Linked DNA regions of Neodiprion lecontei. The protein of the gene in region 1 purifies or fractionates together with the protein of each later gene. This does not show direct contact. Links are inferred from orthologs where the notes say so. Each region holds a gene or a part of one and is shown on either strand. Other genes may lie near its edges.

Evidence for each region.
Region 2: the proteins of contactin (region 1) and neurexin-4 purify together in Drosophila melanogaster (affinity purification with western blotting; 4 studies listed by BioGRID). This does not show direct contact. The link is inferred for Neodiprion lecontei from reciprocal best matches to the Drosophila melanogaster genes Cont and Nrx-IV.

Annotation. Positions count from the first base shown.
Region 1 is NC_060264.1:36,260,848-36,268,997, reverse strand, and holds the start of contactin, read left to right. Parts: upstream 1-2,061; 5' UTR 2,062-2,183; intron 2,184-2,565; 5' UTR 2,566-2,620; coding exon 2,621-3,427; intron 3,428-3,506; coding exon 3,507-3,885; intron 3,886-3,969; coding exon 3,970-4,072; intron 4,073-4,149; coding exon 4,150-4,622; intron 4,623-4,703; coding exon 4,704-4,982; intron 4,983-5,065; coding exon 5,066-5,515; intron 5,516-5,864; coding exon 5,865-7,051; 3' UTR 7,052-8,150. UniProt on the Drosophila melanogaster protein: Required for organization of septate junctions and paracellular barrier functions.
Region 2 is NC_060263.1:7,608,924-7,613,926, reverse strand, and holds the start of neurexin-4, read right to left. Parts: upstream 3,046-5,003; 5' UTR 2,874-3,045; coding exon 2,807-2,873; intron 2,541-2,806; coding exon 2,445-2,540; intron 1-2,444. UniProt on the Drosophila melanogaster protein: Seems to play a role in the formation and function of septate junctions.

The DNA.
Region 1 (8,150 bases):
TGGGTATAACAGGGACTCAGAGTTATATTCCACGTTGAACTGGGATTGGAATTCTCGTGCATGCGTCTAATATGTTTTTGTATTTGATTGATTTGTTACGGGAATGGACAAAGCTTAATGATGTTGTCTCTTAGTGTGGGATAGAGAGTAAAGATGGAGGAAGCTTGGTACTCAAGATGAGGCAAAATTTGCAATTTTGATAAAATTGAGCTGTATCGCAGATTCGAAACTGAACATAAAAGTGAGACCAGGAAATTGATATTATCTTTGGAACAGAGCAGGCGAGAAGGCAAATGCGATGCATCTGCATAGGCTAAGGGCACGGGTCCCGTAGGCAGCACTTGCGATTCGCTAAGATTTTTGTATATTTGACAAAACGGTCTATAATAGATGATAAGTTGATACAAACAAGGCGACTGAGATTATTAGTTAATGAATACTGTTTACATAATTAATAAGTTTAATAAACAAATAGCAGAGGAGGGTGCATCTGTGCAGAAACTGTGTTAAAAATACGCTGGCTATATTATTATACATATGATAATTAAAACGGAAAACAATGACATAAGAGAGAAGGAGCGAAGAAGGGAAATACACCGTGATGTGTCATATTGCGTGTGATGATATAATATATTATAAATATGAATTTTATTATTGAATAGACTTACTGATGGAAATTAAATATTGCAAGTTAATTTTATAGTTACGTTATTACATGATATATAATATTACTACTATTATTGTGTTATTATTTCCATCACGAGTGATCTATCACCGTACCGTATATAATAAAATATTTACTGCAACCATCCAAGGCCTATGTATCTACATGCATTGTTTAATACCATGAAGACGTTGAAACGAATAGCAAGAGAATATAAATTAATTATTTGTATCCTCGACTGATTCTGTACATTATGCAGTTACTATCCATAGAGTTATGCATGTATGTATGTACGTATGTGATCAATTTTTTTTGTCCGACGATATCTGGAGCATGACTTATCAGATGTCAATGATTTTGGTCTCGATCGACGCGACTTTTCCAAACTTAGAACCAATTAAATTTTGGCTCTGACCGGTTTAGTACTTTTTGAGTTATTTATGTAAGAACATTCGAAAAAATAAAACAAAAATAACGACATCTTTGGAATGATCGGATTCGAATAAAAATTGGTACCGCGAGGTTTTTTAGATCGCTGATCATGGATCTCAAATCAGATTTGCCAAATTTAAATTTATCGTATTCAATATGCTTGAAAAAAAATTAAAACATCTGGATTTTGATAAAAATTTGTACAGAAGATAAGTTAGGTCGCTGATCACGAATCTGAGGTCAGATTTGCGAAGTTCAAACTAGCGAATCCAATATGGTGGGAAAAGCAATATGGAAATACTCCGATTTTCGCAGAAATCAGTATGCGGAGGTCTTGTGGGTCATCGATGACGAACCAAGGTCCGACTGCCAAAATTTGTAACGATGGATCCATTATAGTGGTTTAAAATAAAAAAAAAATCATCATATTTTCATGTGATATAGTACTCGAAGCTCTCTGCTTGAAGGTTCTTGTCTCGGTAATCAGGAATTTGAATATGTAGTTTGAAATTTGAAATGGATATTAATATTTTGTTTTTTCTGTGAACTTGGAATCTGCAGCGACGAACACGGGAAGTTCGAGGGCTGGCTTACGGTCAGCCTAAAGCTGCTTGTGATATCTAGTTTTTTCACAGAGTTAGAGGCTCCAAATGAAGTTTGTCAATTAGTTATTTATGGTGCAGTAATACTTATCGTATGTTAATATTCGCAAATTGTTCAGTTTCGATCACTACAGTGGCAGTTTGCGATGGTAAGTGTATGCTCTGCATTATCTACTGCTTTCGTCATGCCAAGTACGGCAGAGTCGGCAGAGTATTACTGGGTTACCGACGCGCACTTACCGTCCGGGTACTTTGAAAATTGGTTTCAAATACATGTTTCGTGTCAGAAACCGCTACTCACTAATCTTTAATGAGCATTCCACAAGGGGGCAGCACCATCTAACATTTTTTTCAAGGCGTGTCGTGTTAACCGTTGACTAATGTGACGAGTGCCAAGAAGTGGTCGCGTGTGACTGTCGCGCGATAATCGTGTCGATGTCTCGTGTCCCGGATATTGTGATAAGATAACATTGATAAGAACCAAGGTAAGCGGAACAGCGATATGATAATCTTTCCTGATTTCATTGACGAGTCGTATCACTGCGTTTAGCTTGAACCCCGGAGCAACGCAACGCCTCACTCACTATTGTTTACGGTGCGCCCGTCGTGCACCGTGCCACTCCCTAGGTATTAAATTTTATCACGAGAAACCACGGAAAATAAATTTTTCACACGATCAAACAATCCGATTCTCGGAAGAGCGTGCATTGATTATTTTACTTGTTATTTCAACATTTTGATTTCTGATGTAATTACTTGTAATTTTATCTTATTTGACGGTTCTTCATATGGTAATTATCCTCGATTAGCTTACAAACCGTAAACTGTGACCCGTACAGTTGCGTAATGCTATTTTTTTCTGATTAGAATATCATAATAAAAGTAGCTGCGAACTTTGGCCGTACACCAATCCTGTTCTGCCATGGTTGGCCTTTGGTTGCAAGTCGCTTTGGTCACTACTTGGGTCATCCTTGTCGCTGCACAAGATCTAGGCGACGGAGAGTTGATATATCGATGTCCCCAGTACTGGATCAGGCACCAAGAGTCATGCTATAGATTCATAAAGAGTCCCTTGAGGGCTCGGGCAGAAGCTCGCAAGAACTGTCAGGCCTATCAGAGTGACCTGGTTAGCGTTGATTCTCTTGAGGAGCATGGGTTCCTCATGTATCAGTTGCAATGGCAGGATCCGCAGCATCGACGCTGGTACACAGGAATCAGGCAGCAGGGTGGCTACTGGTCTAACGAACCAGATGGAAGCCAGCTCGTGAACATGGATAATGCGTTCCTGCCCGAGCCCCTGGATAATGTGCAAGGGAAGGACTACTTGGTTTATACATTCAGTAATAACCTGAAAAGATGGGGATTCGAGAAGGTTACCGGGAATGAGGAGCTTTTGTACATATGCGAAGCTTCTGTTGTCAGCATGCACAATTTAGTCCAGGACGACCGTACCTACCAGTACGGCATTGAGATTAACAATCCCCTGAGAGTGCCACGCGGTCCTTACTTCATTAAGCAACCGGTCGACACCGTATTTGACTTGTCCAAAAGGAAGTTAACCAACGACGTCACTCTAAGCTGCTTGGCTGGTGGATTCCCAACACCTACTTACGAGTGGTTTAAAGAGATCTATGAGAATGATAGATTGGTTGCTAATAGGATCAACCCTTTGGAAAACAGTCGATACACTGTCAGCGGAGGAACTCTTATTATTTACGAACCTGAGCAGGTAATTATCCCTAAGGTACATCGGGCGATTAAGTAGGGAATACCCATCGTTGTCCATTCTCTCTTTAACCATGTTTCAGAAAGGAGATCCTGGATCCTATCATTGCAAGGCGAGCAATGAATTTGGCACAATTGTGTCAGAAAGTGTAGTGCTTTCTTTTGGATACATATTAGTGTTCAATCTGCAACGTTCCCAAGAGAAGGGTGATCAAAATTGGGGAAAAGCAATCTATTGCGATCCTCCTCAACATTTTCCTGGTGTCAAATATTATTGGACTCGTGATTACTTCCCCAACTTTGTTGAGGAGGATAAGCGTGTATTTGTTTCCAACGACGGTGCCCTTTACTTTTCTGCCTTGGAATCGATAGATCAAGGAAATTATTCATGTAATGTACAAAGTGTTGCATCAGATACTGGGAGAAATGGCCCTTTTTTCCCGCTCCGAGTCAATCCTCACTGTAAGTCTTGTCTCTTAATAATTCTACCACCTATGGTTTCACTAAGATGTTGATTCTCCTCTAACATGGTAACATTGATTTCAGCTACATTTCAGCAGCTTACTTTCACCAACAACTTTCCCAAAGTCTTTCCTGAAGTTCCCGTAGCCGGGGAAGAAGTTCAGCTTGAATGCATCGCCTTTGGATAGTATGCATTGTTTGTCGAAAAATTTGCACCCCTGATATTTGTCACACATTTCTGGTAACACTTGATCATTTTTTCAGTCCAGTTCCATCTTACAATTGGACACGCAGAGGTGCTGATCTACCACGTGGTGCAGTTTATTCCAACTATAACCGTGTCCTAATCATTCCACGAGTCCAAGTAGAAGACCAAGGAGAGTATGTTTGCAGAGCATCAAACAACAGAGCCTCAATAGAAAATTCAGTTTTTTTAACCATACAAGCTGCTCCAAACTTTACAATTCCGCTGGTAGACAAACACATGGATAACAGGGGTGATTTAACGTGGACCTGCGAAGCATTTGGCATTCCTGATGTTGATTACAAGTGGTTTAGGAATGGTGAAATACTAGATATGTATACACTGCCACTTGAGGATAGAGATCGATACACCATACAAGACAATGTACTTTCAATAAGAAATCTCAATCCTGAGAGAGACCAGGCGATGTATCAATGTCGAGCAAGAAATCAGCTTCGAACAAAGTATTCTTCAGGTCAATTACGAGTCTTGTGTGAGTTGCTTCTTCTGAATTTTGAATACTCAAATACCATATATTGACACAAGAATTGTTCGATCTTTCGTATACTTGCAGCACTGAAGCCATCTTTCAAAAAGAGGCCCATGGAGTCAGAAACATACGCGGCAGACGGTGGGAATGTTACGATAGTGTGCAACCCTGAAGCTGCGCCACGACCAAAGTTTGTATGGAAAAAAGATGGGAATGTTATTGGTTCTGGGGGAAGGAGGCGTATGCTTGAAAATGGAAACCTGATAATAAGTCCAGTTTCACGCGATGACGAGGGTATGTACACCTGCATAGCCTCGAATGAGTATGGAACAGACGAAACCCGGGGAAGAGTTATTGTACTTCGTAAGTAGCCGATGTATTTTTCGATAAAGCTTCAAGTCAAAACTCTGCGACTTAGGAAGTAACGTGTTATGTGGAAATTGTAGGTGGCCCGAGATTTATTGAGAGTCTGTATCGCCGTACAATTACTGCAGTGATGCGGAACTTGACATTATACTGTCGCGCCGAGACTGAGGAAATCTTAGATGTTGCTTACATATGGACACACAACGGGCTACGAATAAGAGACAAAGATCTGATAAATAATCCACGGCTACAGATCGATGCTGGGCTTCTTAATTTAGTAAACGTGACTTTTGCCGATGCCGGCGACTATGAATGTATAATCAAAAGTGCAGTTGGTAGGATATCGAGTAGGGCAAGCGTTATTGTTGAAGGCCCACCAGGTCCGCCAGGAGGTGTACAGGTCATAAGTGTCGTCAAAACTTCGGTGACCCTTCAGTGGACTGACGGAGCATTTAATGGCAGACCTATCACTATGTATAGTGTTGGCACAAGAACGAATTGGAATGAAACATGGTTTCTACTATCTGAAAGTAAGTTTCCAGTTCGTTAATTGTACTACACTATCGTGGGTTAAATGTCTGATGAAATATGCATTCAGGCGATGTCACACTTGTTTACAGAAACGGTTTTTTGACACTTCATGGTATAAAAATCTTTTTAATTACTAATTGCCATCACATCAAATTTCGCTTAGGTCAAAACTGAATCATTACAAGTGAGCAATAGTAGTCTGATTCCAGCAATACTTACCAATCTTTACAATATACTATCGGTTCCAGAGACTCAATTCTGGTAGCGCTGTAATTTACTTTGACCTTTCACAATATTGAGTATTATTGCATTGCAATTTTCACTATCTTTATCAATTTTATTTTACAGACATAACGGCTATCGAAATCGATAGGTACAACGGGCGTAAAGAAGCATATCTTGAAAATGTTCTCAACCCGCACACAACCTATGAATTTCGCGTTTCAGCGATAAATGACCTAGGTATTGGCGATCCGTCAAGTCCGTCACCTCAGTACAGCACACCGTCCGCCAAGCCGGGAATGGCGCCGATTAACATAGGTGGCGGTGGCGGTAAAATCGGGGATCTGACAATAACCTGGACACCATTGAAATCTTCGGAGCAAAACGGACCCGGGATATATTACAAGATTTATTGGCGTCGAAAGTCCGAGGAAATAGAATTCCAGTCTCTTGCGCTCAAGGAATACGGGAACACGAATATGGCGGTTGTGCACATTCCTTCTGAATATTACTACACACAGTATGAGGTGCAAGTTCAAGCTGCCAACGATGTTGGTTTTGGACCGCTTTCCGAAATCGTGACAATATTCAGTGCTGAAAAGATGCCGCTGGTCGCTCCGCAACAGGTTTACGCGAGAAGTTACAACAGCACAAGTCTGAACGTCACCTGGTTGCCAATCGAAGAAACGCGAGAACGAGTCCATGGTAAATTGATAGGTCACAGACTGAAGTACTGGAAAAAAGACAATGCGGAGGAGGATGCTGTGTATTATTTGTCGCGTTCGAAGCGTCCTTGGGCCCTTGTTGTTGGCTTGCAGCCTGACACCTATTATTTCGTCAAAGTAATGGTGTATAACTCCGCTGGTGAAGGGCCAGAGAGCGAACGTTACCTAGAAAGAACTTACCGCAAAGCGCCGCAAAATCCTCCCTCATCTGTCAACGTTTATGGCATCAATCCATCCACTGTTAAAGTAGTTTGGCGTTACGTTCAGCCAAGTTTGGCGGAAGAACCGTTAATCGGATACAAAATCCGTGTGTGGGAAGTCGACCAAGATATGAGCACGGCCAATGATACAATAGTTCCAGTTGGTTCGGCACTCGAGGGATATATAACAAATCTTAGTCCTGGGAAAGCTTACCACATGAGAGTGTTGGCGTTCAGCAATGGAGGAGATGGACGGATGTCCAGTCCTGAGCATACTTTTCAAATGGGAGACCCAGATACGTTTAGGAGCTCGGCAAGCAAAAAGATTCTTAATACTGGTCTTGGTGTGGCATTGTTGCTCTTATTAAGATTAATCAATTACATATAGTAACTTTTTTTCTAAGATCGCTCGAAACAGACTTGAACTTTGAGGCGTTACCAATTTTTTACTTTCATAAAATATAATTGATAATTTAGAGGTTTCTCTGTAACCGTCCATAGACATCGTTAATTGGCTATCAAATGTTGACGGTAGCTATTGAATGTAGACAATATCAAAATGAAAAAGGTGAACAAATGTTGAGAACGTCATTGAAGTCAGAAGCTTTAAATTATTATTAGGTATCATACGTGCATCTAAACAATAATTGTCACTTTTCAATCTGTTACAAAAGTGTGACGAGGTGATTCTCTATTGATGCTTCGACTACAACTTACAGATCTGACTCTTGATTGTTGAAAAGTATACCGTAGAGATATCTTGAATCGAGCCTTCCAAGACATCCCAAGATTGGTCTAATTTTCACGATACGTTTTACGAGTATATCGAGAAGGTCTCGTGTTAACATCCGAAGAGACTTGATGCCTTGCATTAACGTGCATGAACCGGTGTCAGTAGTCTCCGCTCGAGTGTGAGGGGTCCGTTTCACGGCCTCTTCTTGGTACACATTCACATATATAATACCCATGTACAATAAATACGTATATATATATATATATATATATAAGCAGTGTTGAACGCTTACAACATAGTTTTCTCCAACACAATTATCTTGTATGCATTATCAATCTCATACATTTTGTAGAGATCGTGTAAGAACAGTTAGCTGTGGTCCTCCCGAAAGTTACAATTATCTCTTTTTTCAGTAAATTATACAGATATCATCATGTGTCCATTATAATTGTAGGTAATATATAGATTTTCATTTAAATTCTTATTCGTGACTTTCAGCACATTTCTCAAGTTTTATTGGGAGTTGTTCCAACACTGCTTACAAGTATATGTAGCAGCGATCACTGGCCTACCGATATTTGGCAGTGATTCGCTACTGCGAATCTCGATTAATTATAAGGATTTCAAAATATTTCAAGATATTTTAATAGTTTCATTTTGATATTATATTATGACAGCTAAATTATTTTGAGAAAGAAACAGTGATTTGTTGCTAACATCTCTCTATTTTCCAATCGATTATCTTGTAAATATA
Region 2 (5,003 bases), on another chromosome or scaffold:
AGCTTTTCAAAGTTCATTGTTTCAAATTTAATACCGCGAGATTCTGGGGCAGATTTGTTTTCTTGTAAGGCAACGGAAACGCAGTGATCTGAATCAAGTAACGATTCCTCAAAGAGCCAGTTCTGTTTCACCCCGTCTAAGTAGAGTTCAGTGTCCGTAACTAACTGACCCGCCACTAAGGGCGAATTTGTTTTGAATGAAATTCTTGATAAATCCATAGTTATTCCTACGCCTATAGCTTTGACATAGCTTTCCTTCAGAGACCAATGTCTGCAAAACATAGATACTTGATCCATTTCAGATTTTGAGTTACCTCCTCTGATCGAGTTCCACTCTGTAGGTGTAAAATTTCTATTCATAATTCGGAAAAATTCAGCCAAGTTTTTACCACCGGTGTACTCTAGCTTCATTACATCGACTCCTAACAGTAAATTTCTAACTTCCCCAGCAATGACTGTGTAGCTTCCCTGATGGGACACGTTGAAGTTTAGATTCTTAACGTCGCCATTCACGAAGGGCCGATCACTTTCATCTCTACCGAACGATACGTCACCGTAAGGAATATTGCCGTACTCATTTACAAATTTACGCATCAACAATCTGCCGACAAGAGAGGCTCTCGCATCTTTTTTAAACACGAATCTACCGATTCTTTCCTTCTCTTCGATTTGTATGCAAGAAATAGCTTTTAGGAATTCGGTCTCACTTGGATCCCATTGCAGCCAATTGAACGCCCATCGAACACTCGACCTTGCCATTTTTATCATAACAAGAATCAGATATGTTGAAATAAGTTACGTTCTTTCTTTTTTCAATATATAAATAAACTGTTTCACAGCGGACTTCTACGACAGGCTCCGTTTTGTAAAATTTTGGGACTTCTTAGTATCCACCTGAAGCAAATATACAAGACGCAATTTTACTTTTTTTCTGGCTATTATTCGATTACCAAACTCAGACCTAAGGTTGAACCTGAATATATGGAAATAAATCAGAGTTGTTGCAAGGTTTGAACTTCAAAATTGTGTCATTTTTCTATGCTATAAAATTTCTTATCTACATGTAAGAAACCAACTGATGTTTTGAGCTAAAAATTATCTACTGTTAAAATAATACCTGGTCACTTTCGTAATGTGGATATAAGTGAAAGTGATACAGGATTGTTACAAATTTTTAATTCACACATTAGATTCTTGCATTACAACTTTTCATATTGACGCTTTCAGTCACAGTCTATGACAGAAATTAGAATTCTAAATAAAACCCATATTAGCGTATAATATTGTCTCAGATCTTGGTTTGAATATATTTTTGCAAATCTTAGAAATTTCTCAGGTTGCAACAACCCTGAGTATTGACGAGGCGATAAAGGCAAGGATTCAAAGAGTTACATGCTTATCTTCTGATGGATGAGTGCTAGTATATCTAGAATGATACGTACAGGGCTGATAGCACTAATTTTGATAAAAATGATAGGAGTGATTACCTGATGTAGAGAAGTACGTACAATGCATTCATCGAGTTGACTAAATACTTTTCGCAATAAAAAAGTTACTTCTATATCTACTGGGGAAACTCAACGTGCGTCGTTTGTTAGCGACTACTTTGTTCGCGTATCGTTTCATGAAAATTTATGTCTCAATGTCACGATGTGTTGAACACTGGTATATTATTAAAAAAAAAGATAATCTTGCTTAGTCAGGGTACTATTCAACTTTGATTTTTTCTTACTATAAAAGCTTAGGCCTGAGTGTTCTGAGAGCAGGAAGTTACGGGAAGTGTACTGTACCATTTTATTGATTTCTTTCAATTGGCTGATCAAGCTTGTTTTAGATATATTTTGTGGTGACAAAAATTGTATAGTTTCTTTAGAACCTTGCTGTTACACGATTAGGTGAATTTTTTTTTTATTACCTACTTGTAAAATTTCAATATGATTATTCTGACCTGACAAATTTGAACGTGAATAGTATAGCATATAATTTATCGTTAGTAGGAACTTGGAGCGTGTCAGATGATTGTAACAGAAGATGCGATCAATACGTATAGAAAAAATTAACAAAAGTGAATTGTTATCAGCCCTGAGTATGTGACATAAATGCTTGCAAGACTGCCCTGCAAACCTCTCGTTTGAATGAACTAATAAACAATGAGAATTTTTTGTAGGTTCGGAGAATAATTAAAATCAAAGAAGTCGATATTTGTGCCAGCGAAGATTCATTGAAAGAAAGTAAATTTGAGATTACAACATCAAGAGTAATAAGGAGAAAAGCTAGTAGCCGACAACAAGAAGAAGCTACGGTATAACAACAACACAGTATTCAAGGCAGGCGTATTTTCACCACATCCACATGTTTGGTTCGATTTTGGATTCAGCTAAACCGACTTAGTCTCGCCTTGTGTCTTTCGACGTAAAAATCAAACGATATTATAAAAATTTTTACCGTTAAGCCTGGCATTTTCGGGTCCTCGTTCGGACAGGGATGATGTAGCCTTTAGTTGAGCCTTCTCAAGCAGTGGCATGCCGCAATCGTAATCATCTGAAAGAAAAAAAAAAACAACAATAAACTACGAAGCGTCAGGTTTTACCTCGGCGTAATTTGGCGAGGATGAGAGAATCAAGGGTTGGATAATTCGTCTTCGGAATAACGTCGCCGCTTGGAGCAAGCCAACGCCATGTTGAGCGTTATATGGGCTTGGCCCAAAGGGATAGTTCACGTTTGAAACAATATTATTTCGTCTATCGGAATCAGAGCTACATGCTTCGGTTCAATTGTTTTCGAATATGCTCGTCGCTTCAACTTACATCCGTTTGTTTTCGGCACTGATACGAGGGTGAAGAGGAGAACGATGTACTTGATAACGCACATCATAACATTGCTTGAATTTGCGGTTACACGGGTTACACCCAACTCTGGTTGACTAATGAATGATCCACGCAATGCCGCGGTCCGAGTCGGTGAGTCGACTCAATCTGTGGCTGTGTGAGGTGGCCGAATGAATAGTCAGACTATAGTTGCCAGTGACGCACACACAGTTGACACTTTCCAAGTTTCCACCCAACGTCTATTGGCTGATCCATACATTTTTTAAATCTATCGGAGCGACATTTGGTGGCCGAAAGTCGAACTCGAGACCTGTTCGACTTTCCAACGCTTTGTAAGCGTTCCGAAAGAGGGCAGCACTGTTTGAATCAGTGATCGGCAGTTGGTTGTGACGAGACAAATGATTAACGCCCCGTTTTTTTCGACACGGTTTATACGACGTTCAATTTTTTCTGTGTAGTTTCGAGACAGGCTGAACTTGGTGTAAACTTTTGATTAACTTTAGAGGAATCGGGGTTTCGAACGCTTGCTCTTGGGAAAAATATCGCGATCATTACTCTGTAAGTAAGCAAGCCTGAGGCTACGTAAAGCCGTGACAGTAATGCGGTAGTTTTTTTTATCGACACGCAATTTCATGTGATACACGAAACCGTTCCGTTGGGATAACAGTTTTCAGTCAACGGTTGTGATTTGTGGACGTTGCTCGTAGTCGGTTCGCATGCTTCCTAACTTTCGATCAAATCTGGAGGCTGAATTGAATCAAATTTAACGATAAATGCAAGGTACAAGTACGAGCTTATTGCATTTGTTTATTGTATCACATAATTTATTCGACTAAACACTATTTCTATAAGAAAATGCTTCCGAAATATTCTCACTACTTTTTGTCTATATGATTTTTAGAATCGATATTTGATACTCCGTTTTCGGAATGTTTGTGGGCGGTTGTTTTCGTTTTCATTTACTCTACGCTTCCTCTTGTTCGACCGTTTTGTATATGTGTGTCTCTTTTTTTCCTCACGTGTTTGCCGAACAAGTGAATTTAATAGAAGAATGCATTTGTTTCGGCGTTTGACTATATTCACGTAAAGCGATTTCAGATAACACCGAAGCAACCCAAACAATCGACAGGCGCAAAAATACTACGACGTTTATGTTCAAATAATAAAAAACGGATTTTGATTCCAGGACCAGGAGATAAGCTGCGGATGAGGGTTTATTGCGGATATACTTGTGTTGTGATAGGCTTGCACAGATCGTCGCGATGCAGAATGGGTGAGTCGCATGAATTTCAACCTGTTATCTTTTTTCTGTTTTTCGTCTGTTGATTTTTTCTATTGGCCATGTGACAAAGCGATGGCTAAATAAGGGAACGTGATTTCATTATGTAGTAGTATTTTCATATTCCACATGTCATATTTATTGAGCAGCAGAATATTATTTACAATATTTTACACACGCAAATAAAACCTAACGAGGCAGGTAAAATTGCCTGTGCGTAATAATGGTGTTTGTAAACTAAAAATTAAGATTAAGGTAACAGGTAAAGAGAATAGAATACGAAACTAAAAAGATAGTATTAAAACTCACATTATTGAGCTTTGCTCGCGTCTTTAAAATTGCATCGATGTACGCCATTTATACTAAATGGCTATAAATAACTTCAACGAAGTTATGAAACTGCTTTTGAAGTTAGCAGTTTTGTAGATCGTGGGTAGCATCAAACCTTTTTTCCTCGTTGTTATAGTGGAGGATTCGAAATTTTGATAATGATAATCATATTGATTGCGTAAAGCCTCGACATCAAACGAACACTTGAGTCTTTGCAGCGTTTTATTCGTATTAGATATCGTTACAATTTTTATAACTCGTTTTTGGAGGGACGCTAATTTATTAATTACATTATTGTAGTAAGATATAGTGAGCAAAAATTTCAGAAATGATGTTGACCTTTTTTTAGGGAATTTTTTCCACTTCGATATCCCATACATTTGAAGAACAGTGTATTTACAGCTCTCTGCAGTGTAGGCCATTTTATAAAGCTTAATTCTACAAAGTAGATTGTCATTGAATAAATCAACATTAGATATACAACACACATTTTATGAAGCAAACACAAGATTACCTACATATTGATGTTCCAGCTTTCGTATCTTCGTATAAATAATTTCTCCCACA